4 linked regions of the Oryctolagus cuniculus genome follow. The protein of the gene in region 1 purifies or fractionates together with the protein of each later gene. This does not show direct contact. Links are inferred from orthologs where the notes say so. Each region holds a gene or a part of one and is shown in the gene's direction. Other genes may lie near its edges. The genes, in order: RASSF1, MAP1S, SAV1 and MAP1B.

Region 1 (5,449 bases):
GCAGTGCGTAGTGCGGCTGCGTTCTTTGGGCTAAGCTTCAGACAACAGGGGAGGCACAGAACCCACCTGCTTGGCATTTGTGGGGCAGGCTCTCTTCAGACACTGGCCTGTGTATCGGGCAGCGCGGAGCCTGGCCTGCCGCAGCCTTCGTGCAGCACTGTGAGATGCGAGCTCTGGCCCCAGCTCCCCGCAGCGGTGTTGATGGCGAGATGACGCTAACTGTCCTGCCAGCTGGTGGTGGAGCCGCTGAACTGTACCAGTTCCCTCACATCCTGTGTCACAGTGGGTCCTGGCCCTTGGCTGGGGCAAAGTGGAAAAAAGGGCTGCCATCTCCAAAAACATCCTGACGCCAAGCCAGCCAGAGTCCTGGGGTAGGCCATGCAGTTGAGGCAGGCGTCCCTCCTCGGAATCCTCCGTCGTCTTGGCCTCTGGCCTCAGCTGCCCCTGATTCTGTGGTTTCCCTGGAGCTCTGTTGCGTGCTGGAGAGCAGCCGCATGATTCCGCCTTTGCTGGCTTCACTCACAGTGTCCAGAATCAGGAGCAGTGACCACTGTAGCACAGCGGGTTAAAACCCCAGCCCGCAGTGCCCGCATCCCATATGGGCGCTGGTTTAAATCCCAGCTGCTCCCCTTCCGATCCAGCTCTGTGCTGCGGCCTGGGAAAGCAGTAGAAGATGGCCCAAGTGCTTGGGCCCCTGCACTGTGTGGCAGACCTGCAAGAAGCTCCTGGTTCCTGGCTTTGGAGCGGCACAGCTCTGGCCATTTCGGCTATCTGGGGAGTGAACTGGTTGGATGGAAGACCTTTCTGTCTGTCTCTACCTCTCTAACTCTGCCTATGAAATAAAATCTTTAAAAGTTTTTTTTTTTTTAACAGTGACGAGTGGCCGGCGCCATGGCAGTGCCGGCACACCGGGTTCTAGTCCCGGTCAGGGTGCCGGATTCTGTCCCGGTTGCCCCTCTTCCAGGCCTGCTCTCTGCCGTGGCCAGGGAGTGCAGTGGAGGACGGCCCAAGTGCTTGGGCCCTGCACCCCATGGGAAACCAGGAGAAGCACCTGGCTCCTGCCTTCGGATCAGCGTGGTGAGCCGGCTGCGGCAGCCACTGGAGGGTGAACCAACTGTCCACTCTGCCTGTCAAAAAAAAACAGTGACAAGTTCAGGATTTAAAGTGGAGCAGCCAGGACTCAAACCTGCACCCATATGGATGCTGGTGCTGCAGGTGGAGGCTTAACCTACTTTGCCACTGCGCCAGCCAGGATGGCTGATTCTGGGCATCTGTGTACATCAGGAAGTCAATTTCCAAGAGCATTTTTCAGAGAAGCCATGTATTCAAGGGTCCTGTGTCCATGGTGCTCATCTTTTTGACTTTTTTTTTTTTTTTTGTAGGAGTGATTTATTTGAAAGTCAGAGAAGGAGAGGCACAGAGAGCGAGCTCTTCCGTCCGCTGGTTCATTCCCCAGCTGGCCACAGTAGCTGGAGCCGCGCCAGTCCGGAGCCGGGAGCCTCTTATGGGTCTCCCCACATGGGTACAGGGGCCCAAGGACCTGGGCCATCTTCACCGCCTTCCCAGGCCATAGCAGAGAGCTGGATTGGAAGTGGGGCAGCCGAGACTCGAACTGGCACCCATATGGGATGCCGGCACTGCAGGTGGCAGCTTTACCCACTACGCCGCAGCACCAGCCCGTTTGACTTTTATTTAAGAAACAGAGATCCCTCATCTGTTGATTTCACTCCCCACTCTATGGACCAGGCTGAAGTCAGGAGACAAGAACTCAAAGCAGGTCTCCCACATGGGTGTCAGGGAGCCAAGTATTTGAGCCATCACTTGCGGCCTCCCAGAGTCTGCATTAGCAAGAATCTGAAATCGGGAACAGAGCCTGGATTTGCATCCAGGCACTCGGGTGGGGGCAGTTGGCATGTTAGCCCCTAGACCAAACACCTGCCCCTGGCCTGTTTGTTTAGGACGAGCACGTGGAGTGGGAGAAGCCTGATCTTTCTCAGGCTGAGGTTGAGCAGAAGATCAAGGAGTACAACGGCCAGATCAACAGCAACCTCTTCATGAGCCTGGTGAGTGCAGTGCTCTGGCGGGGGTCTGCGGAGGGGCAGCCGTGGTAGGCTCAGACAGCCACTTTGGCAACACCCAGCCTAGCCCTAGGGTGTTCCGTGTCTCCCGGCAGCTAGGTCATGGTTGAGTTTGTTTCTCTCTAGAACAAGGATGGCTCCTACACCGGCTTCATCAAGGTCCAGCTGAAACTGGCCCGGCCCGTGTCCGTGCCCTCCAGCAAGAAGCCCCCGTCCTTGCAGGATGCTCGCCGGGGCCCAGCACGGGGCACAGCCGTGAAGCGCCACACCTCCTTCTACCTGCCCAAGGACGCCGTCAAGCACCTACACGTGCTGTCTCACACCCGGGCCCGGGAGGTCATCGAGGCCCTGCTCCGCAAGTTCCTGGTGGTGGACGACCCCCGCAAGTTCGCCCTCTTTGAGCGAGCCGAGCGTCATGGCCAAGGTGTGTTTCCCCCCGACACACACCCCGTGAGGATGCTTCAGGAGGTCTGTGGAAAAGGGAATTAGAAGCTTGGCTTATGTTGGTACACAAGAGATTTGAAGTCCAGGTATAGTTTAGAAAAAGCGAATTTATCGAGGCATTAGTGATTAGAAACAGTGGAAAACGAATCCCTCTAGGCTTAAAAGAGGGCTTTTTTTTTTTTTTTTTTACAGAGTGGATGATAGAAAGGTCTTCCTTTGCTGTTGGTTCACCCTCCAATGGCCGCTGCGGCTGGCGCACCACACTGATCCGATGACAGGAGCCAGGTGCTTCTCCTGGTCTCCCATGCGGGTGCAGGGCCCAAGCACTTGGGTCATCCTCCATTGCACTCCCTGGCCAGAGCAGAGAGCAGGCCTGGAAGAGGGGCAACTGGGACAGAATCCGGCACCCTGACCGGGACTAGAACCCGGTGTGCCGGCGCCGCAGGCGGAGGATTAGCCTAGTGAGCTGTGGCGCCGGCCCTAAAAGAGGGCTTCTTGAGGCACCACTCTATGTATTTTTTTTTTAAAATTGATTATTTGAGAGGCAGAGTGAAGAGTTCACACCCCAGTTGGCCAGCTGTTGTGGCCAATCTGAAGCCAGGAACTTCTTCCAGGTCTCCCACATGGGTGCCGGGGCCCAAGGACTTGGGCCATCTTCCACTGCTTTCCCAGGCCACAGCAGAGAGCTGGAGTGGAAGGGAGCAGCTGGGACTTGAACTGGTGCCCATATGGGATGCCAGCACTGCAGGCAGCAGCTTTACCTGCTACGCCACAGCACCGGCCCCCACATTGTGTATTTTCAAAAGGTAACTCAGGGCTGGCGCAGTGGGTTAACGCCCTGGCCTGCTCCGCTTCTGATCCAGCTCTCTGCTATGGCCTGGGAAAGCAGCAGAAGGTGGCCCAAGTCCTCAGGCCCCTGCATCCGTGTGGGAGACCTGGAAGCAGCTCATGGCTTCGGTTTGGCATAGCTCCGGCTGTTGCGGCCATCTGGGGAGTAAGCCAGCGGCTGGAAGACTTTGTTGTAAAAAAACAAAAAACAAACAAACAAACAAAAACCACTTTTTTTATTTGATTTGATTTAAAGATTTATTGGAAAGTTACACAAAGAGGAGGAGAGGCAGAGAGAGTCTTCATCCACTGGTTCACTCCCCAGTTGGCCAGATCTGTGCCGAACCGAAGCCGGGAGTTTCTCTTCTGCTTTCCCAGGCCACAGCAGAGAGCTGGATTGGAAGTGGAGCAGCTGGACTTGAACCGGCACCCATGTGGGATGCCCCAGCACCAGTCCCAATGAAGCAGTCTTTTCATGAGCTTTTTAAAGACCTCTAGGCTGTGCCTGCCCCTGTGCCTGCCCCTGTGCCTGCGGGAGTGGAGGCAGCAGGACCTCTGATCTCACACCTCTTTCCCCCGGCCTGGGCTGCAGTCTACTTCCGGAAGCTGGCGGATGACGAACAGCCCCTGCAGCTTCGGCTCCTGGCAGGACCGAATGAGAAGGACTTGAGCTTCATCCTGAAGGAAAATGACTCCGGGGAGGTGAACGTGAGTACCCAGTCCTGCTCAGTTTCCTGCTTTTAATGAACAGAGACAAGCCCTGTACAGCCTCCCCAGGGCAACGAAAGGAAGGGCTTCCAGGCCTGTCAGGCCAAGGTCTAGGGCAAGCCCAAGGAGCCAGGAAGAGCTGTCCTGGTGCTGTGGAAAACCCGATGGAGCTAGGAAGCCCCCACCCCCCACCCATCCCTCAGGCGTTACGACTGCTTGCCTGGAGTCTTTATGGCTCCCAGGTTTGGGGCCCATGGAGAAAAGCCTGCTTGGGTGCCGGTTTGGTCAGGTCTGGCTTCTGTTTGACAGCTGGTGGGCTTCTCGTGCAGGCTGTTTGGGCACGAGACTCCTGGGGGAACACCTGATGCCAGCAGGTGCGGCCCGGGGTCCGGGTCCTCCCTGGGGCGGCTGCAGCTGCTGGAGCCTGTGCTCTGCCCTCTGCAGTGGGACGCCTTCAGCATGCCCGAGCTGCACAACTTCCTGCGCATCCTGCAGCGCGAGGAGGAGGAGCACCTCCGCCGGATCCTGCAGAAGTACTCCCGCTGCCGGCAGAAGATCCAGGAGGCCCTGCACGCCTGCCCCGTGGGGTGACCGTGACCCCTGGATGGCAGGAGAGTAGGCAGCGCCCAGCGTGTGCTGTGTGAGTGTGACCGGGCCCCTGGGGCCTGAGGCGTGAGTGCGGGGGGAGGCCCTGCCCTGGGGAGAAGGAGCCGAGCCGACAGCCGAGGGGCTGGCCCCGTGTCCAGCAGCGGGTTTAGCGGGGCCTGGCTTTGCAGCCCTCAGCCCGTCCTGTACTGGGTTGGAGGGAGCCAGGGCTGCCCTAGGCTTGTAGCAGGGGCGGAACAGACAGAAGTTGCCTTAATTTGAGTCTCAAAGATGAGACTTTTGGGGACCTTGCAGACCACACAAGGTCATGTTTGCAGGGGTGAGGGCCTTCATCTATGGGGGCTCAGAAAAAGCAGGTATCCAGGAAGAGTCCACGGTTCCTTCTGGGGGGCCTTCCGACTCCTCCCACACCTGAGGTCAGGGAGTGCTGGCGCCCAGTGCTGTGACAGTGCCTCGGTGCCTCCGCGCGGGAGGCTGGCCCTGGAGCAGGGTCTGCGTGAATGTGGGCACGGGGCCAGGACCGTACCTGTGTGCAGGTCAAAGCCGGGGTCTCCCCTTCAGGTATTTCCGATGGAGTGTGTGAATGTATGTCATGTTTGGTGGCCTCAGCCGAATGCCTCCTGTGGGGAATGGGGTGGGGGACAGTCGTCATCACGGCCTGAGAGAATTGGCTGAATAAAGATTTGCGGATCCTCTCGATTTTGGTGTCTTACTGTGGGCCCGCAGCTGCCACGGCGGATATACTGTCTCGGGGCAGCTTCTGAGAAGTCACACGGGACCAGTCC
Region 2 (4,714 bases), on another chromosome or scaffold:
GGGGAGGCGGGGCCCGACGCCTCGCCCACCGTGACCACGCCCACGCTGACCACGCCCTCGCTGCCCGCCGAGGTGGGCTCCCCGCACTCCACGGAGGTGGACGAGTCGCTGTCCGTGTCCTTCGAGCAGGCGCTGCCGCCACCCAGCGCGCCGGGCGAGGCGGGGCTGAGCCTCCCGCTGCGCGGGCCCCGCGCGCGCCGCTCGGCCTCCCCGCACGACGTGGACCTGTGCCTCGTGTCGCCCTGCGAGTTCGAGCACCGCAAGGCCGTGCCGCTGGCGCCCTCCCCGGGCAGCTCCAACGACAGCAGCGCGCGCTCCCAGGAGCGGGCGGGCGCGCCCGGGGCCGAGGAGACGCCGCCGACGTCGGTCAGCGAGTCCCTGCCCACGCTGTCCGACTCGGACCCCCTGCCCGCCGCCCCCGGCGCCGCCGACTCGGACGAGGACACGGAGGGCCTGGGGGCGGGCCCTCGCCGCGACCCTCTGCCCGAGCCGCTCAAGGTGCCGCTGCCGCTGCCCAACCCGCCCAGCCTCTGCATGGTGGACCCCGAGACGCTGCCGCCCAGGTCGGCCCGGCCGCCGGAGGACGCGGCCCGCGCACGCAAAGCCCCGGCCCGGCCCGCCTCCCGCACCGCCGCGCCCAAGGCCGCACCCGCGACCGGCGCCAAGAGCAAGGGGCTGGCGGCCGGGGACCGCGCCGGGCGGCCGCTCAGCGCCCGCAGCGAGCCCAGCGACAAGGGGGGCCGGGCACCCCTGGCCAGGAAGTCCTCGGCCCCCAAGACGGCCACCCGCGCCCCGTCCGGTGAGTACCTCCGTTCCCGCGGCCCCACGTCCGCGGAGTCGGTCCTCTCGCGGCGTTAGCCCCAGAAAGCGGCTGTATACTTCGTGCGTGCAGGCGGCTGCCGTGGGTGCCAGGCCATCTGTGCGTGGGTGAGAGGCAGAGTCCCGGGGGTGGGGGCCCCGGCCCGGTCCGGTCTTCTGTGTTCCGGGTCTCGTCCCAAGCGGTCCCCGTGCGAGTGGCAGGCGCTTGAAACCTCGCCCCGCGAGCTCCCAGAGGCTCGGGTGCCCGGTGGCTGGGCCGGGCTGGACCGGACCGGCGCCCCACGCGGCGGCTACACCCACCGCCCTGGGCTTGGTCCTCCCGTGGCTGCCGGCGCCCCCTTCTCTGTAAGGCGGGTGCCGCCCCAGGGGGCGGGGCCGCAGCAGGTGTCACTCAGCGTCGGGGCTGCGTGCTCCCGCCCGCGCTGGGCAGGGTCTGCGGGCGCCCCGCGTCTTGCTAGGCCTCGTCGTTCTGTGGTTTGTTTGTGTAGTTAAACGGCGGCCCTGACGCACGGGGGGGGGGGGGGGGGGGCAGCTCACTAAGGTGTTGATTGACTTCCGGCATCTTCTCCCGCGCTGGCTTTTCTTTGCAAGGCATAGAGAGGTTCGGTACCCAAACAGGAGCTGGGATTGGACCAGGCAGGAGCCAGGAGCTCCATCCGGGTCTCCCGCGCAGGTGCAGGGACCCAAGCACTCGGGCCATCTTCTACTGCTTTCCCAGGACTGAGCAGGGAGCGGCCCGGAAGTGGAGCTGCCGAGACTCGAGCCGGCGCCCACGTGGGATGCCGGCGCCAGCCCCGGCCCCGTACTGGTCGCTTCCTCGTCCCGCAGCCAGGGTCAGGGCGCGCTGCGTCGGTCACCCGGGATGCGGGTGTTCGGGGGTGTCTCCTCCGCTCAGCGTGTTTGTGCCTGGGGGTGTTTGTTCACCACCCCACCCCCCCAGCTGGCTCCGGCCCGGCCATGCGTGGCTCAGGAGCCTGGGCAGTGAATCCCCGTTTTGCCCCCGAGCCGCTGGCGAGTCCAGGCTCCGGTCACCAGGGCCACCCCGGGTTGGCCGAGTCTGTGTGTCGCTGTGGGCTCACGTGCAGGCCCTGCTTGCTTGCCCCAACCTTTATCGCTCTTTTTGCATTTTTTTAAGAATTTATTTGCAATGCAGAGAGGGAGAGAGAGGTCTTCCATCCGCTGGGTCACTCCCCAAATGGCCAGAACAGCCAGAGCTGTGCCAGGCTGGAGCCAGGAGCCAGGAGTTTCTTCCCGGTCTCCCACGTGCAGGGGCCCAAGCACTTGGGCCATCTTCCACTGGTTTCCCAGGCCACAGCAGAGAGCTGGACCGGAAGTGGAGCGGCTGGGACTTGAACCCGCGCCCCTGTGGGATGCCACACGGCAGGCGGCTGCTTCACCCGCTGAGCCCCGGCACCGGCCCCTCCTTTGGCCTCTTCAGCCTCAGGGCGGGGGCTGCAGCCTGGGGTCGGGAGTTCAGGGCCTTGTCCGTGGGTGGAGAGGCGGCACCTCCTAGGGTCTTCCCCTGTGACTGCCAAGGCCACGGCTCCACATCAGCATGGGGGGGGCTGGGCTGCTCCCTGGTCCGTATGACCCCCGGGCCTGGCGCGCCCCCCCGAGTGGACGCCACACAGCAGTGTCCACTTCCGGGAGGCAGCCTCCCCCAGGTAGCCCTTCCTGATTGACTTCTCGCTCTCGCTGACCCTGTGGCTGACCCCCGAGGCGCAGCTCCTGGCATTGCAGACTGACTAAAGGATTGTGGTCTGCGAGCCCGCTGAGGGCCTGGAGCCCCGGGCGCCCTCGCTCACCGCCGACCCGCTTCCTGCCCTCAGGCCCCGCCGGCAGCCGGCCCGGAGGCTCAGCCGCCGCGCCCGGCTCCCCCGTCTACCTGGATCTGGCCTACCTGCCCAGCGGGAGCGGCGCGCGCCTGGTGGACGAGGAGTTCTTCCGGCGCGTGCGCGCACTCTGCTACGTCATCAGCGGCCAGGACCAGCGCAGGGAGGAGGGGATGCGCGCCGTGCTGGACGCGCTGCTGGCCGGCAAGGAGCGGTGGGACCGCGAGCTGCAGGTGCGCACCGCCTCGCCCTGGGCCCCCTGGCTCCTGGCCACGCCCTCGTGGGGCGGGAACAGGCGGCTTCCGGGCGGAGGGGACCCCTGAGGGTCGGGCTCCTTCCATCCCGCCTCTGCTTGGCCTCTGCACGCTCACAGGGGCCAGTCAAGCGCGGACTTCTCGTTCCCGGCGGGGGGCGGGGCCTGGAGGGAGGGGGCGCCCCTGACCGTGTACTGCCCCCCCGCAGGTGACCCTGATCCCCACCTTCGACTCGGCGGCCATGCACCGCTGGTACGAGGACACGCACGGCCGGCACCAGGCGCTGGGCGTCACGGTGCTGGGCAGCAACAGCATGGTGTCCATGCAGGACGAGGCCTTCCCCGCCTGCAAGGTCGAGTTCTAGCCCCGCCCCCGCCCCGCAGCCCCGCCCCCGGAAATAAAGCCCCTGCGCACCCCCACCCCGGCCTGGACGCTTCTTCCGGCGGGACCCCAGGCCTCGGCGGCCTCCTCCCCGGGCCTTGCAACAGCAGAGGGGCCGCCGGCGCCCCCTGGCGGTGACCAAACCCTGCTTGAGACGAGGGTTCGAGAGGGCGTTGGGAGGGGGCGGCCCAGCTGGGTTCCGGGCCGGGAGAGGCTCCACTGGAGACGGGAGACGGAGACGCAGGGCAGGGCCGGGTCCTCTCCCGAAGGCGCAGGGCAGGGGTCAGCCGGGCGTGGACCAGTGCGAGCAGCCAGAGGTGGGGGGAGCGGGTCTGGGGGGGGTTACGGCCACGGGGCAGGTGCACCCCAGGGGAACCACCCAGCGTTGTGGGGGCGCAGCGGGCTCAGTGCCTCCCCAGACTCCCACATCCGGGACTGGAGCGGCCGGGTTTGAGTCCCGGCCGCTCCACGTCCCACCCGGCTCCCCCACGTGCGAACCCTGGGAGGGGAGGGTCCCGCCGGGTCCCGTCCCCCCATGTGGGGGGCCTGGATGGAGCGCCTGGCCCAGCCCTGGCTGTTGTGGCGTTGAGGGATGCAAGACCCGCCTCCCAAACCAATAAATCTTGGGAAGTTTGCTGCGCTACGGTGCTGGGCCCTGGCCCGGGGCCCCATCTGTGGCTGCCCCGTCTGTCTGGTCTCCGCCCCTCCGTCAGAAGCCTCGGGACCGCCCCCCCACCCCCCCAGGCCGGAGCAGGTCCCCCCTAGCAGCCATCAAGGCCAGGCCCCGCCCTCGCGGATTTCACTTCCCGGTTCCTGGTGCGCCTGCGCCAGATCCCCTCATCAAAATCCGAGCTGGGGGGCCGGGCCGTGTGGCGCAGTGGTCAAGGCCCTGCTGGGCAGCCTCGGTCAGGTCGGGAGGAGTCCGGGCCCCACTCCCTGCTGAGGGCCTGGAAGGTGGCAGTGCCGGCCCAGGGGACTCCTGGCTGCTGGCCCCGCCTGGCCCAGCCCTGGCTGTTGCAAGCTCCCTCTCCGATAATGTATTAAAAATTGGAGACACGGTCAGCGGTAGACTTGTCCGAACGCCTTCCAGCCCGGTCCGCACGGCTCCGCGCGGGGTCTGGATCCCGTGGGCTCCGCCCTCGGCCCCAGCGCCCTCTCCCGGCTCTAGCCATCAGTTCCTCGCCACCACCTTCGCTTCTGCCCGCCTGGGACTCGGGTGCTAGGAGGAGCCCGGGGCCGGGGCCTGCGGGGACCCCTGGGGGTCGCCTCCGCTCTGGCCACGCAGGCCCGGCCGTCCTGGAGCCGAGCGTGGCCGCTCCCCCACCGCGTCCTCCGCGGCTGCCTGTTGCCGCCAGGGCTGCTCCGGGAGCCGGGGGCCCCACCCGGGTCTCCCACGCAGGGTGCGCGTGCTGCGCAAGCGCCCGCCCC
Region 3 (5,449 bases), on another chromosome or scaffold:
ACTAGAACCCGGTGTGCCGGCGCCGCAAGGTGGAGGATTAGCCTATTGAGCCACGGCGCCGGCTGGAAAGTTCACTTTTAAATATGTTTTTGACAGCTTGGTTTTCTGGTGGTTTTTAAATGATAGCTTGCTATTTGCTGTAAATAAGGCTTATGAACATTATTTGGAATCATAAAATAGGTTTGTCACACCTTTGAGCAATTTGATACAGTATCTTTAGTATTAAGTATTGAGGCTTATTTATTCAGATATTAATGTGATAGCTACTGAAGATTATTAATGAGTGCCCTCAAATATTGTTTACAAGGAATAAAATGGTCTCCGTATCCAGTTGTCATCATGCTTTAAAGACATTAGCTTTTCCACCAGGAATGTCTATGCTCTTTTCTCATTCTGTATTCAAAAAGACCGTATGCTAAAAAGCTATTCTTCTGTTATCTTCTGTTTTGAGTTATAATTACTTATTTTTAAAGGAATCCTAGTTTCAAGCTTGCTGTGTTTTAACTGGCACATTTATGTGCCTCTTTGAAATGCACTCCTTTTATGTTTAATTTTCATACATAAGATTTTGATTCTCTAAAATTTTGGTTACTTTAAAAATTTTTTTATTTTCATTTTATTTGAAAGGTAGACAGATTTTCCATCTGCTAGTTCAGTCCCCAAATGCCAGCAACAGCCAGGGCTGGACCAGGCCAAATCCATGAGTCTGGATCGTAATCCCTGTCTCCCTTAGGGTGGCAGGGACCCAGGTACTTGAGGCATCATCTGCGGCTTTCCGGGGTATGCATTAGCAGGATGTTGGACTCTTAAGTGGAGCCAGGATTTGAGCCCAGAAGCTCCACTAGGGAATGTGGCATGCCAAGTGGTGATTTACCACGGCTCCAGATACCCATCCCTGATTACTTTGGATCACTTAATGAGTGCTAGATAATTTCAAAAGTAGGAAGTTACTAATTTAAAACTTTTTAATGAAATCCACATTTACATGTTTGGGAGTAGCACTATATTGTCAGTTTTATCTTTGAAATAGTGTTTGCTTAAAAAGGATTTTTTTTTTAGGTTTATTTATTTATTTGAAATGCAGAATTAGGAGAGACAGAGATCTTCCATCTGCTGATTCACTCCCCAGATAGCTACAATGGCTAGAACTGGGCCAGGCTGAAGCTAGGAGTCTGAAACTCCTTCCAGGTCTCCCTTGTGGGTGCCAGTGGCCCAAGCACTTGGACCATCTTCTGCTGCTTTCCCAGGCACATGAGCAGGGAGCGGTATTGGAATTGGAGTAGCTAGGATTTGTGCTCATATGAGATGGTGTTGTCCAAGGCTGTGGCTTAACCTGCTGTGTTGCAACACCATCCGTGAAGAAGGCTTTTTGATAATTTCTAAATAGAAGTACAGACAAAACCATGATCATAAGTAAATTATGCTGGTAACTACATATGGATTTGTTAGGTTATTTTCTACTCTTATACATTGATCCATGAGTACTTCATTGATACATAGTTCATAAATAAGCTTATTGATATTTCTTCATCATATAGTATACAGAATATACTTGATTGTGGCTAAGCTTACACAGAACACATTCAGGCAAATTATAAATTCATTTGAGTAGGAAAATACTAATCTTTCTCAATTTAAAATGCCCAAGTACTAACTTAAACTTTAAAGTTGTTTTTTTTTAAGTATCTTGTGATTTTTTGGGTGGTTCACATAACATTTGAAAAGTTCATTGCTTACTGAAATGATAATTGTACTCTTTGTTTTATTATAGATCTGATGCCATCATTCATCCGGCATGGTCCAACAATTCCAAGACGAACTGATATCTGTCTTCCAGATTCAAACCCTACTGCTTTTTCAACTTCTGGAGATGGAGTAGTTTCAAGAAACCAGAGTTTCCTTAGAACTCCAATTCAAAGAACACCTCATGAAATAATGAGAAGAGAAAGCAACAGGTTATCTGCACCTTCTTATCTTGCCAGGAGTCTAGCAGATGTACCTCGGGAATATGGCTCTTCTCAGTCATTTCTCACAGAAATTAATTTTGCTGTTGAAAATGGAGACTCTGGTTCCCGATACTATTATTCAGATAATTTTTTTGATGGCCAGAGAAGGCGGCCACATGGAGATCGTGCACATGAAGACTACAGATACTATGAATACAATCATGATCTCTTCCAAAGAATGCCGCAGAGTCAGGGGAGGCATGCTTCAGGTAACCTGATGTTATAAATGGTCCATTACGATTATATTGACACTTTGATTAAAAGATGTTTCTTTATGAATTTTCCCGTGAAGCTGACAAAGGCTCCCAGGGAAATTCCATTTTCCATTTTGCCATTGTTGCTTAAGCCTGCCTGCAAAATAGTTATGCTTCTACACTGAATGAATTCTTGTGTCCATTTATTTTACTAACTCATGTTTTATAAACCTGGTACTTACCTCAGAGTCATCTGGATTAATATGGGCCTTGAAAACCTGGAGAATTTAATGTCTTTGGTTGGACTGAATTTAGATTTAGGTTTTATAGAATGGGAGGGTTAGACTTTTTTTTTTTTTTTTTTTTTTTGACAGGCACAGTGGACAGTGAGAGAGAGAGACAGAGAGAAAGGTCTTCCTTTGCCGTTGGTTCACCCTCTAATGGCCGGTGCGCTGTGGCCGGCGGATCGCGCTGATCCGATGGCAGGAGCCAGGTACTTATCCTGGTCTCCCATGGGGTGCAGGGCCCAAGTACTTGGGCCATCCTCCACTGCACTCCCGGGCCACAGCAGAGAGCTGGCCTTGAAGAGGAGCGACCGGGACAGAATCCGGCGCCCCGACTGGGACTAGAACCCGGTGTACCGGCGCCTCAAGGCGGAGGATTACCCTAGTGAGCCACGGCGCCGGCCCAGGGAGAGTTAGATCTTAGAAATTGGTCTGAAACCCGGGAGAGGGAAACAGGATATGAAAAAGTGGGCATGTTAGGTGATAAGCATGGTCAACTATATAACTTAGTGCAGTCTTGTACTGTTTCTCTGAACGTAACACTATCATTCAATAAGTATTTCCTAAGTTGGTCAAAAAAACTTACTGTCAAGTGGCAAACTGTGTGTTGAACATGTCTTCTTGTCATTCTTGTTGTAACAGTCAGAAATATTAGTGATTAATTAAGGAAAAAAAAGTCCATTTTCTTAATCTCCTGGCTTGGAGATACTTCTACAAGAAGAGACTGGAGAAATGTGCAATTCTGTTTTAGTCTTAAAAAGTACTGGATTACGCTGTATAAATTGAAGCAAATTGAAAGTTTTTGTGATTGATTTTTTCCTACCTAGTGAGTCTTACATTTGGCATAAAGGAAGAAATATGCGAACCAGATTAGCTTTTTAGCCCACATGACTTCAAACAAGCTGACTTAAACATTTTGGAGCGTGAGTGTTTTGACTTGGAAAAGTATTATTCATTAAGTGTTAATCATTTGTGCTTAGCATTTTCTTTGACCCTCTTAGTCTCTGTCTTGTGCTTTATTTGGGGAAATAAAACCTATATATACACAATAGTGACAGAACAATGAATTCTTACACTTTGTTATTGACTGGCCATATGATAGGGAGTCAGAAGAGAAACCATTGTGGACTGGAATAATTAAAAGAATAATTGATGGAAAAGATAGAACCTGCGCGAGTCTTTGAGCTTGGATTTTGGATTAACTGTGGCAGAATAATATTTAAAGACTGAAGTTGGGGGGCCAGTGCTGTGGCACAGTGGGTTAAGCTGCTGCTTATAGCACCGACATTGCATATGGGCACCATTTCGAGTCCTGGCTCTTCGATTTCCAATCCATCTCCCCGCAAATGTGCCTGGCCTGATGCTTGAGCCCCTGCACCCATGTGAGATAACCCAGATAAAGCGTCTGGCTTTGGCCTGGCCCAGCCCTGGCCATTGAGGCCATCTGGGGAATGAACCAGTGGACGAAAGATTCTCTCTCTCTCTCTCTCTGTGCCTCTGCCTCTAGTTCTCTGTAACTCTGCCTTTCAAGTAAATAAATAAATCCTTAAAAAAAAGTTTGAAGTTGGGAATAACCCAGTGAAAACAGAGTGGGCATGTTTTAAATTCAAAGGACTTCATAGTTGTGCCTGATTTGAAGATAAAAGCTGTAATGGGAAATGGAGATTCCTAATCCAACAGGCTTAGCGTTGAGTCCAGAAGAAGCATTGTGCATTTCAAAAAAGAAAACACAGTGATTTGATGAAAATAGTGTTTAAAGGTGAGTTTTTGTAGTAGGATTCAGGACAGAGTCTCAGAGAAACGACAATTGTAGGGGAAGTGAAAATGGACAGAGAAAGGCAGAACTATGGTGCTTTTGAAAGAGAAATGGGAATGTAATAGGAAATGAGCTTGGGAGAAAATAGATTATTAAAGTCTTGAATATTTTTTATTTATTTATTTATTTATTTTGACAGGCAGAGTGGACAGTGAGAGAGAGACAGACAGAGAGAAAGGTCTTCCTTTACCGTTGGTTCACCTTCTAGTGGCCGCTGCGGCCAGCATGCCGCGGCCGGTGCACCGCGCTGATCCGAAGCCAGGAGCCAGGTGCTTCCTCCTGGTCTCCCATGGGGTGCAGGGCCCAAGCACTTGGGCCATCCTCCACTGCCTTCCCGGGCCACAGCAGAGAGCTGGCCTGGAAGAGGGGCAACCAGGACAGAATCCGGTGCCCTGACTGGGACTAGAACTCGGGGTGCCGGCGCCGCAGGCGGAGGAGTCAAAGTAATTTTTAAAAAAGATTTTATTTGAGAAGCAGAGTTACAGGGGGGGGGGGGGGGGCGCTCTTCCATCCGCTGGTTCACTCTCCAAATGGCAGCAACAGCTGGAGCTAGGCTGATCTTAAACCAGGAGTGAAGAACTTATTCCAGGTCTCCCATGTGGATTCAGGGGCCCAAGTAGTTGGGCCATCTTCCACTGCTTTCCAGGCCATAGCAGAGAGCTGGATCATAAGAGCAACAGGGACATGAAATGGCACACATATGGAATGCATGTACCACAGGCTGGAGGCTTAGCCTACTTTACCACAGTGCCAGTGCCAAAAAGTAAATTTTTAAAAGCAAATCTGGGGGTTTGTGTTGTGGTGCAGTGGTTTAAGCTGCCATCTACAACACTGGCATCCCATATGGGTGCTGCTCCACTTCCGATCCAGCCCCCTGCTAATGCGCCTGGGAAGGCAGGGGAAGATGCACCCAATATTGGGAGACTCCGATGTGATACGAGGCTCCTGGTTTCGGTCTGGCCCAGCCCAGACAGTTGTGCCATTTAGGGAATGAATAGTAGATGGATGGAAGATCTCTCTGTTTCACCCCCCCCCTCTCTGTAATTCTGCCTTTCAAATAAATAAAAATAAAAAAATAAAGCCGATTTATATTTTCCTTTAGAGTAATAACTTCTTATAGGGAGTTTGCAAAATGTGAAAAGTAAAAGT
Region 4 (5,449 bases), on another chromosome or scaffold:
TTTGCTTTGGATCATGCCCTGCATTTTGTAGAAACTCTTTGGGTAGAGGTAAAATAATGGACCGCAGGGAGATGCTCCTGTGTCCCGTTGCCTGCTCTTTGAACCTTGTGACTTCACACCTCACAGAAAAAAGCTAGTGACGGGGGCAGGTGTTTGATGCAGTGGATGAAGCCGCCACTTCTGATGGCTGCATCTGCATCGGAGTGCCTGGGATGGAGTCCTGCCTCCACTTCCGGTACAGTTTCCTGCTAATGTTAACCCTGGGAGGCAGCAGGTGATGGCTAAAGTGCTTGGATCCTGCCACACACAAGAGACCAGGATGGAATTCTGGGCCTCTGGCTTGGTCCAGCCCTGGCTGTAATGGGCAGCCATTACATTAATGGGCTGTAATGACTAAAGCGGTGGGTAGAAGAGCTGCCTTTCTCTCCCTCTCTTTCCCACTCTCATCTTTCTAAATAAATAATCTTTCTTAAAAAAAGAACTAGGGATTGAACACCCCTACTCAGCCGGATTCTATCCTTGACACTCCCTCACCCCTACCCTATCCCAATACCTCTCAGCTAGGGTAGAATTTCAAAAGTTAGAATGAACTAAATGTAATTTTTAAAAAATCCACTCTAAGGGGCAGGCAGTGGTTAAGATGTCACTTAGAACGCCCACATCCCACATCAAAGTGCCTGGGTTCCAACCCCTGCTCCCCTCCGGACTCCAGCTTCCTGCTACTGTGCCCTCCTGGGAGGCAGCAGTAATGGCTCAAGTGCTTGGTCCCTGCCACCCATGTGGGAGACCTGTATTGAGTTCTCAGTTCCAGGCTTTGGCCCAGCCCTGGCTGCTGTGGACATCTGGGTTGTGAACTGGTGCATGGGAGCTCTCTTTTTCTTCGCCTCTGAAAAATAAATGAAATAAATAAAACTTATCCATGAAAGACTCAGCAGTTTGAGTTTTCTTGGATTTGCCCCTAAGCATGTATTGGAAACCATGAAGAATCTGCCGGTGTTCTGTGTGACGATCAGGACCGGCAGAAGGCCAGTCGTGTGGCAGCAGTGATGATGAGGGTCTCTGCCAAATATCAGACATGAAAGCGCATTTGGTGCTCATGTTTTCTTCGGCCAACAAATAATTTGAGCAAAGATCCTCCCCAGTGGTGGTTACCATTTGCTTTCTCGGTTTTCTCAGCTTCCAGAACAGGGCTTTGGTCCCATCCCTTTTATGTGGGAGCATTCGAAGTGAAGTCAGAGGAAAGCAGCAATGTTTCGTTATTGTGCCGTTTTGTGACTCTTCACTTAAAACGCGATGCTAGAATTAATAGGCTTATGACAAGATTGAGTGCAGCCTAGTAGAGGAAAATTCAGATTGTGTGAATTATCCTTATCTCTCTCACACACGCATGCACACACACACGGCCTCTGAATGTTAATATTCTAATAGTGACACAGAGGTGATCCCTCTGATCCTGGCAGGTGAGAGTCCCGAGCTGTCAGGTAGCGATGGCTGCACCAAGGAAAACCTTTTGCCTTGCCCCTTCCTCACTGCCTGTCCAGCACGCAGGGCACTTCTTGGGTGACCTCCTGGGCTGCATTATGAACTCTGCTGAAACAGAAAGAAGGCCTGAATTTACAGCATGACTTTCCCTCACAATTTGCTAAACTAAGACCATCTGGCCTTAACATGGAGCAAGAAAGAAAAGAGTGCTTTCGTTAAACCATAATCACCGTTTTGGTCCCCATTTGCTTTTCCACATTCCCATCCTCGGGAAGTACTAAACAATGCATTAAAAAGCATCGGAACCAAATGTGAGCTTAGCCACTCAAACCCTGCTCCGTTGGAAAAGAATGGGAGGGCGCAGGGAAGGTGCCGCCTGGGACACCTGCATCCCATCTCAGAGTCCCTGGGTTTGAGTCCTGGCTCCACTCCAGATTCCAGCTTCCTCCAATGTGCACACTGGGAGGCAGCAGCAATGGCTCAAATAGTTGGATCTCTGCCACCCACATGGGAGACCAGGACTAAATTCTCAGCTCCTGGCTTTGATCTGGCCCATCCTTGGCTGTCTGGCCATTTGGGAATGAACCAGCAGATGGGAGATCTCTGTCTGTTTGCCTTTCAAATTTTTTTTAAGTTTTCAAAAAGGAAAGAATGAGAGCAGAAAGCCAGCAGAGTGTCTCTCGTTGGATTTAAGCACAAACAGGGGCAGGCATTTGGGATACCCACTTCCCATACTGGAATACTAATAAGCATTTGCTCATGTTTATTTATTGTCAAGTGTTCATTTATTTTTATTTGATAAGCAAAGCAACAGAGACGGAGCAAATGGGGATCGTATCTGGTCATTGGCTTGTACAATTTACTCAATCAGTTTAATCATCAGGGCTTCGGTAAAAGCATTTGTATTCACGGAGAATCTGCTGGGTGAACCACTCATGTTTTAAATATTGGGCATTGGTGCCAGAAACCAATCATTTTCTGTAGTCCTGGGCAATCAATACCTTCCTGTGTCCCACGGGGGGAGACCTCACCAGACATTTTTCTTTTTGTATCTGTCAAATTCTAAAAGGAGACAAGAAGTGCACTATTACCGGCACTTCTTTAACGTGTCCATCACACGTCTACCACTTGCCAAGCCGAGGGGATTAAAAGAAATGACCTTGCAGTATCAGTGAGGAAATGACTCACGTAGCTTTCTCCCGTGATGGTTCAGTATTTTTTAAAGAGCACCTGTGCATGACAAGTGCATCAGGGAGCATGCAAAGTAGTACATGCACGGATAGTCCATGCAGCTGGTGGCCTCAGAACTGGAGCCAGGTTCTGGGGTGCAGGGGATGCTCGGGCCAGGGGCCATGCACCGTCTTGCATGCAGGTGTTTTAGGATGTATACAACAAGCATCACTACACGGCTACAGCTCTGTGCAGCCAGGCATCCTGTGTCACCCTCTGGAGGCAGAGATGATGGAACAGTGATGACAGTCAGTCACCCAAACCCCCCCCCTTCTTCTTTTTGTTCAATTCCAGATTGGAGAGTTACTGAGCACTACCCATCCTGCCAACAAAGCCAGCTTAACCCTGTTCTGCCCCGAAGAAGGGGATTGGAAGAACTCCAACCTGGACAGACACAATCTGCAAGACTTCATCAACATTAAACTCAACTCAGCGTCTATATTGCCAGAAATGGAAGGACTCTCTGAGTTCACCGAGTACCTCTCGGAGTCAGTGGAAGTCCTGTCCCCTTTTGACATCCTGGAACCTCCCACATCCGGGGGCTTTCTGAAGCTCTCCAAGCCCTGCTGTTACATCTTCCCCGGAGGCAGGGGCGACTCCGCCCTGTTCGCGGTGAACGGATTCAACATGCTCATCAACGGCGGCTCGGAGAGGAAGTCCTGCTTCTGGAAACTCATCCGCCACCTGGACCGCGTGGACTCCATCCTGCTCACCCACATCGGGGATGACAACTTGCCCGGCATAAACAGCATGCTGCAGCGGAAAATCGCCGAGCTGGAAGAGGAGCAGTCGCAGGGCTCCACCACCAACAGCGACTGGATGAAAAACCTCATCTCCCCTGACTTGGGCGTCGTCTTTCTCAACGTCCCTGAAAACCTGAAGACTCCCGAGCCCAACATGAAGATGAAGAGGAGCCTGGAGGAAGCGTGCTTCACCCTCCAGTACCTGAACAAGTTGTCCATGAAGCCAGAACCTCTCTTTAGAAGTGTAGGCAATACCATCGATCCTGTCATTCTTTTCCAAAAGATGGGGGTGGGGAAACTAGAGATGTATGTGCTTAACCCAGTCAAGAGCAGCAAGGAAATGCAGTATTTCATGCAGCAGTGGACTGGCACCAACAAAGACAAGGCGGAACTGATCCTGCCCAATGGTCAGGAAGTAGATATCCCGATCCCCTACTTAACTTCAGTCTCCTCGCTGATCGTGTGGCATCCAGCAAACCCGGCCGAGAAAATCATCCGCGTCCTCTTTCCTGGAAACAGCACCCAATACAACATCCTGGAAGGGCTGGAAAAACTCAAACATTTGGACTTCCTGAAGCAGCCGCTGGCCACCCAGAAGGATCTGACTGGCCAGGTGCCGGCTCCCGCCGTGAAACAAGTGAAACTCAAACAGAGGGCTGACAGCAGAGAAAATCTGAAGCCAGCTGCAAAACCAGCTCCCAGCAAAACCGTGCGAAAGGAGTCGAAAGAGGAAGCCCCGGAGGTCCCCAAAGCGAACCAGGTAGAAAAGCCGCCCAAAGTGGAAAGCAAAGAAAAGGTGACCGTGAAAAAAGACAAGCCGGTCAAAACGGAGCCCAAACCAGCGGCCGTGGACAAGGAGGCGCCCAGCAAAGAGGAGCAGCCTCCCGTCAAAGCCGAGGTGGCGGACAAGCAAGCCGCCGACGTCAAGCCCAAGGTCTCCAAGGAGAAGACCGTGAAAAAGGAGGTAAAGGCGAAACCCGACGAGAAGAAAGACGAGAAGGAAAAGCCGAAGAAGGAAGTGGCGAAGAAGGAGGACAAGACGCCCGTCAAAAAGGAGGAGAAACCGAAAAAGGAGGAGGTGAAGAAGGAAGTCAAGAAGGAAATCAAGAAGGAGGAGAAGAAGGAGCCCAAGAAGGAGGTGAAGAAAGAAACGCCCCTGAAGGAAGCCAAGAAGGAGGTGAAGAAGGAAGAGAAGAAGGAGGTGAAAAAGGAAGACAAAGAACCTAAAAAGGAAATTAAGAAGCTCCCCAAAGACACGAAGAAACCAGCCACTCCTCTCTCGGAAGCGAAAAAACCTGCTGCGTTGAAGCCCAAAGTCCCCAAGAAGGAGGAACCGGTCAAGAAAGACGCGGCGGCTGCCGGGAAGCCCAAGGAGAAGGCCAAAGTCAAAGTTATCAAGAAGGAGGGCAAGACGGCCGAGGCCGCCGTGGCCGTGGGCGCCGCCGCTGTGGGCGCCGCCGTGGCCGCCGTGGCCGCCGCCGGCCCCCTGAGGGAGCTCGAGGCCGAGCGGTCCCTCATGTCGTCCCCCGAGGATCTCACCAAGGACTTCGAGGAGCTGAAGGCTGAAGAGGTGGATGTGGCGAAGGCCCTGAAGCCTCAGCTGGAGCTGATCGACGAGGACGCGAAGCGGAAGGAGAGCGAGGCCGGGGAGGCCTACGCCCTTCAGAAGCACACGGAGGTCATCCAAGGCCCCGCCGAGTCCCCCGACGAGGGCATCACGACCACCGAAGGGGAGGGCGAGTGCGAGCAGACCCCCGAGGAGCTGGAGCCGGCCGAGAAGCCAGGCGTGGAGGACACTGAGAGGTTCGAGGACGAAGGAGCGGGCTTTGAGGAGTCCTCCGAGGCCGGCGACTACGAAGAGAAGGCAGAAACCGAGGAGGCGGAGGAGCCGGAAGAGGACGCCGAGGAGAGCGCGGCTGTGAGCGCCCCCAAGCCCGGCCTGGCTGAGGACGAGGAGGTGGCCAAGGCCGAGGCGGATGTGCACATCAGGGAGA

What was found.
Region 2: the proteins of RASSF1 (region 1) and MAP1S purify together in Homo sapiens (affinity purification with mass spectrometry; 4 studies listed by BioGRID and IntAct, counting the BioPlex papers as one, with this or other methods). This does not show direct contact. The link is inferred for Oryctolagus cuniculus from reciprocal best matches to the Homo sapiens genes RASSF1 and MAP1S.
Region 3: the proteins of RASSF1 (region 1) and SAV1 purify together in Homo sapiens (affinity purification with western blotting; 3 studies listed by BioGRID, with this or other methods). This does not show direct contact. The link is inferred for Oryctolagus cuniculus from reciprocal best matches to the Homo sapiens genes RASSF1 and SAV1.
Region 4: the proteins of RASSF1 (region 1) and MAP1B purify together in Homo sapiens (affinity purification with mass spectrometry; 3 studies listed by BioGRID and IntAct, counting the BioPlex papers as one, with this or other methods). This does not show direct contact. The link is inferred for Oryctolagus cuniculus from reciprocal best matches to the Homo sapiens genes RASSF1 and MAP1B.

The regions. Positions count from the first base shown.
Region 1 is NC_091441.1:98,984,099-98,989,547, forward strand, and holds the end of RASSF1 (ras association domain-containing protein 1), read left to right. Parts: intron 1-873; exon of another isoform or gene 874-891; coding exon of another isoform or gene 892-1,077; intron 1,078-1,958; coding exon 1,959-2,063; intron 2,064-2,204; coding exon 2,205-2,502; intron 2,503-3,942; coding exon 3,943-4,058; intron 4,059-4,502; coding exon 4,503-4,649; 3' UTR 4,650-5,363; downstream 5,364-5,449. UniProt on the Homo sapiens protein: Potential tumor suppressor. Required for death receptor-dependent apoptosis. Mediates activation of STK3/MST2 and STK4/MST1 during Fas-induced apoptosis by preventing their dephosphorylation.
Region 2 is NC_091447.1:65,422,409-65,427,122, forward strand, and holds the end of MAP1S (microtubule-associated protein 1S), read left to right. Parts: coding exon 1-799; intron 800-2,648; coding exon 2,649-2,884; intron 2,885-3,113; coding exon 3,114-3,269; 3' UTR 3,270-3,324; downstream 3,325-4,714. UniProt on the Homo sapiens protein: Microtubule-associated protein that mediates aggregation of mitochondria resulting in cell death and genomic destruction (MAGD). Plays a role in anchoring the microtubule organizing center to the centrosomes. Binds to DNA. Plays a role in apoptosis.
Region 3 is NC_091443.1:25,507,418-25,512,866, forward strand, and holds part of SAV1 (protein salvador homolog 1), read left to right. Parts: intron 1-1,771; coding exon 1,772-2,215; intron 2,216-5,449. UniProt on the Homo sapiens protein: Regulator of STK3/MST2 and STK4/MST1 in the Hippo signaling pathway which plays a pivotal role in organ size control and tumor suppression by restricting proliferation and promoting apoptosis.
Region 4 is NC_091445.1:38,781,534-38,786,982, reverse strand, and holds part of MAP1B (microtubule-associated protein 1B), read left to right. Parts: intron 1-3,006; coding exon 3,007-5,449. UniProt on the Homo sapiens protein: Facilitates tyrosination of alpha-tubulin in neuronal microtubules. Phosphorylated MAP1B is required for proper microtubule dynamics and plays a role in the cytoskeletal changes that accompany neuronal differentiation and neurite extension.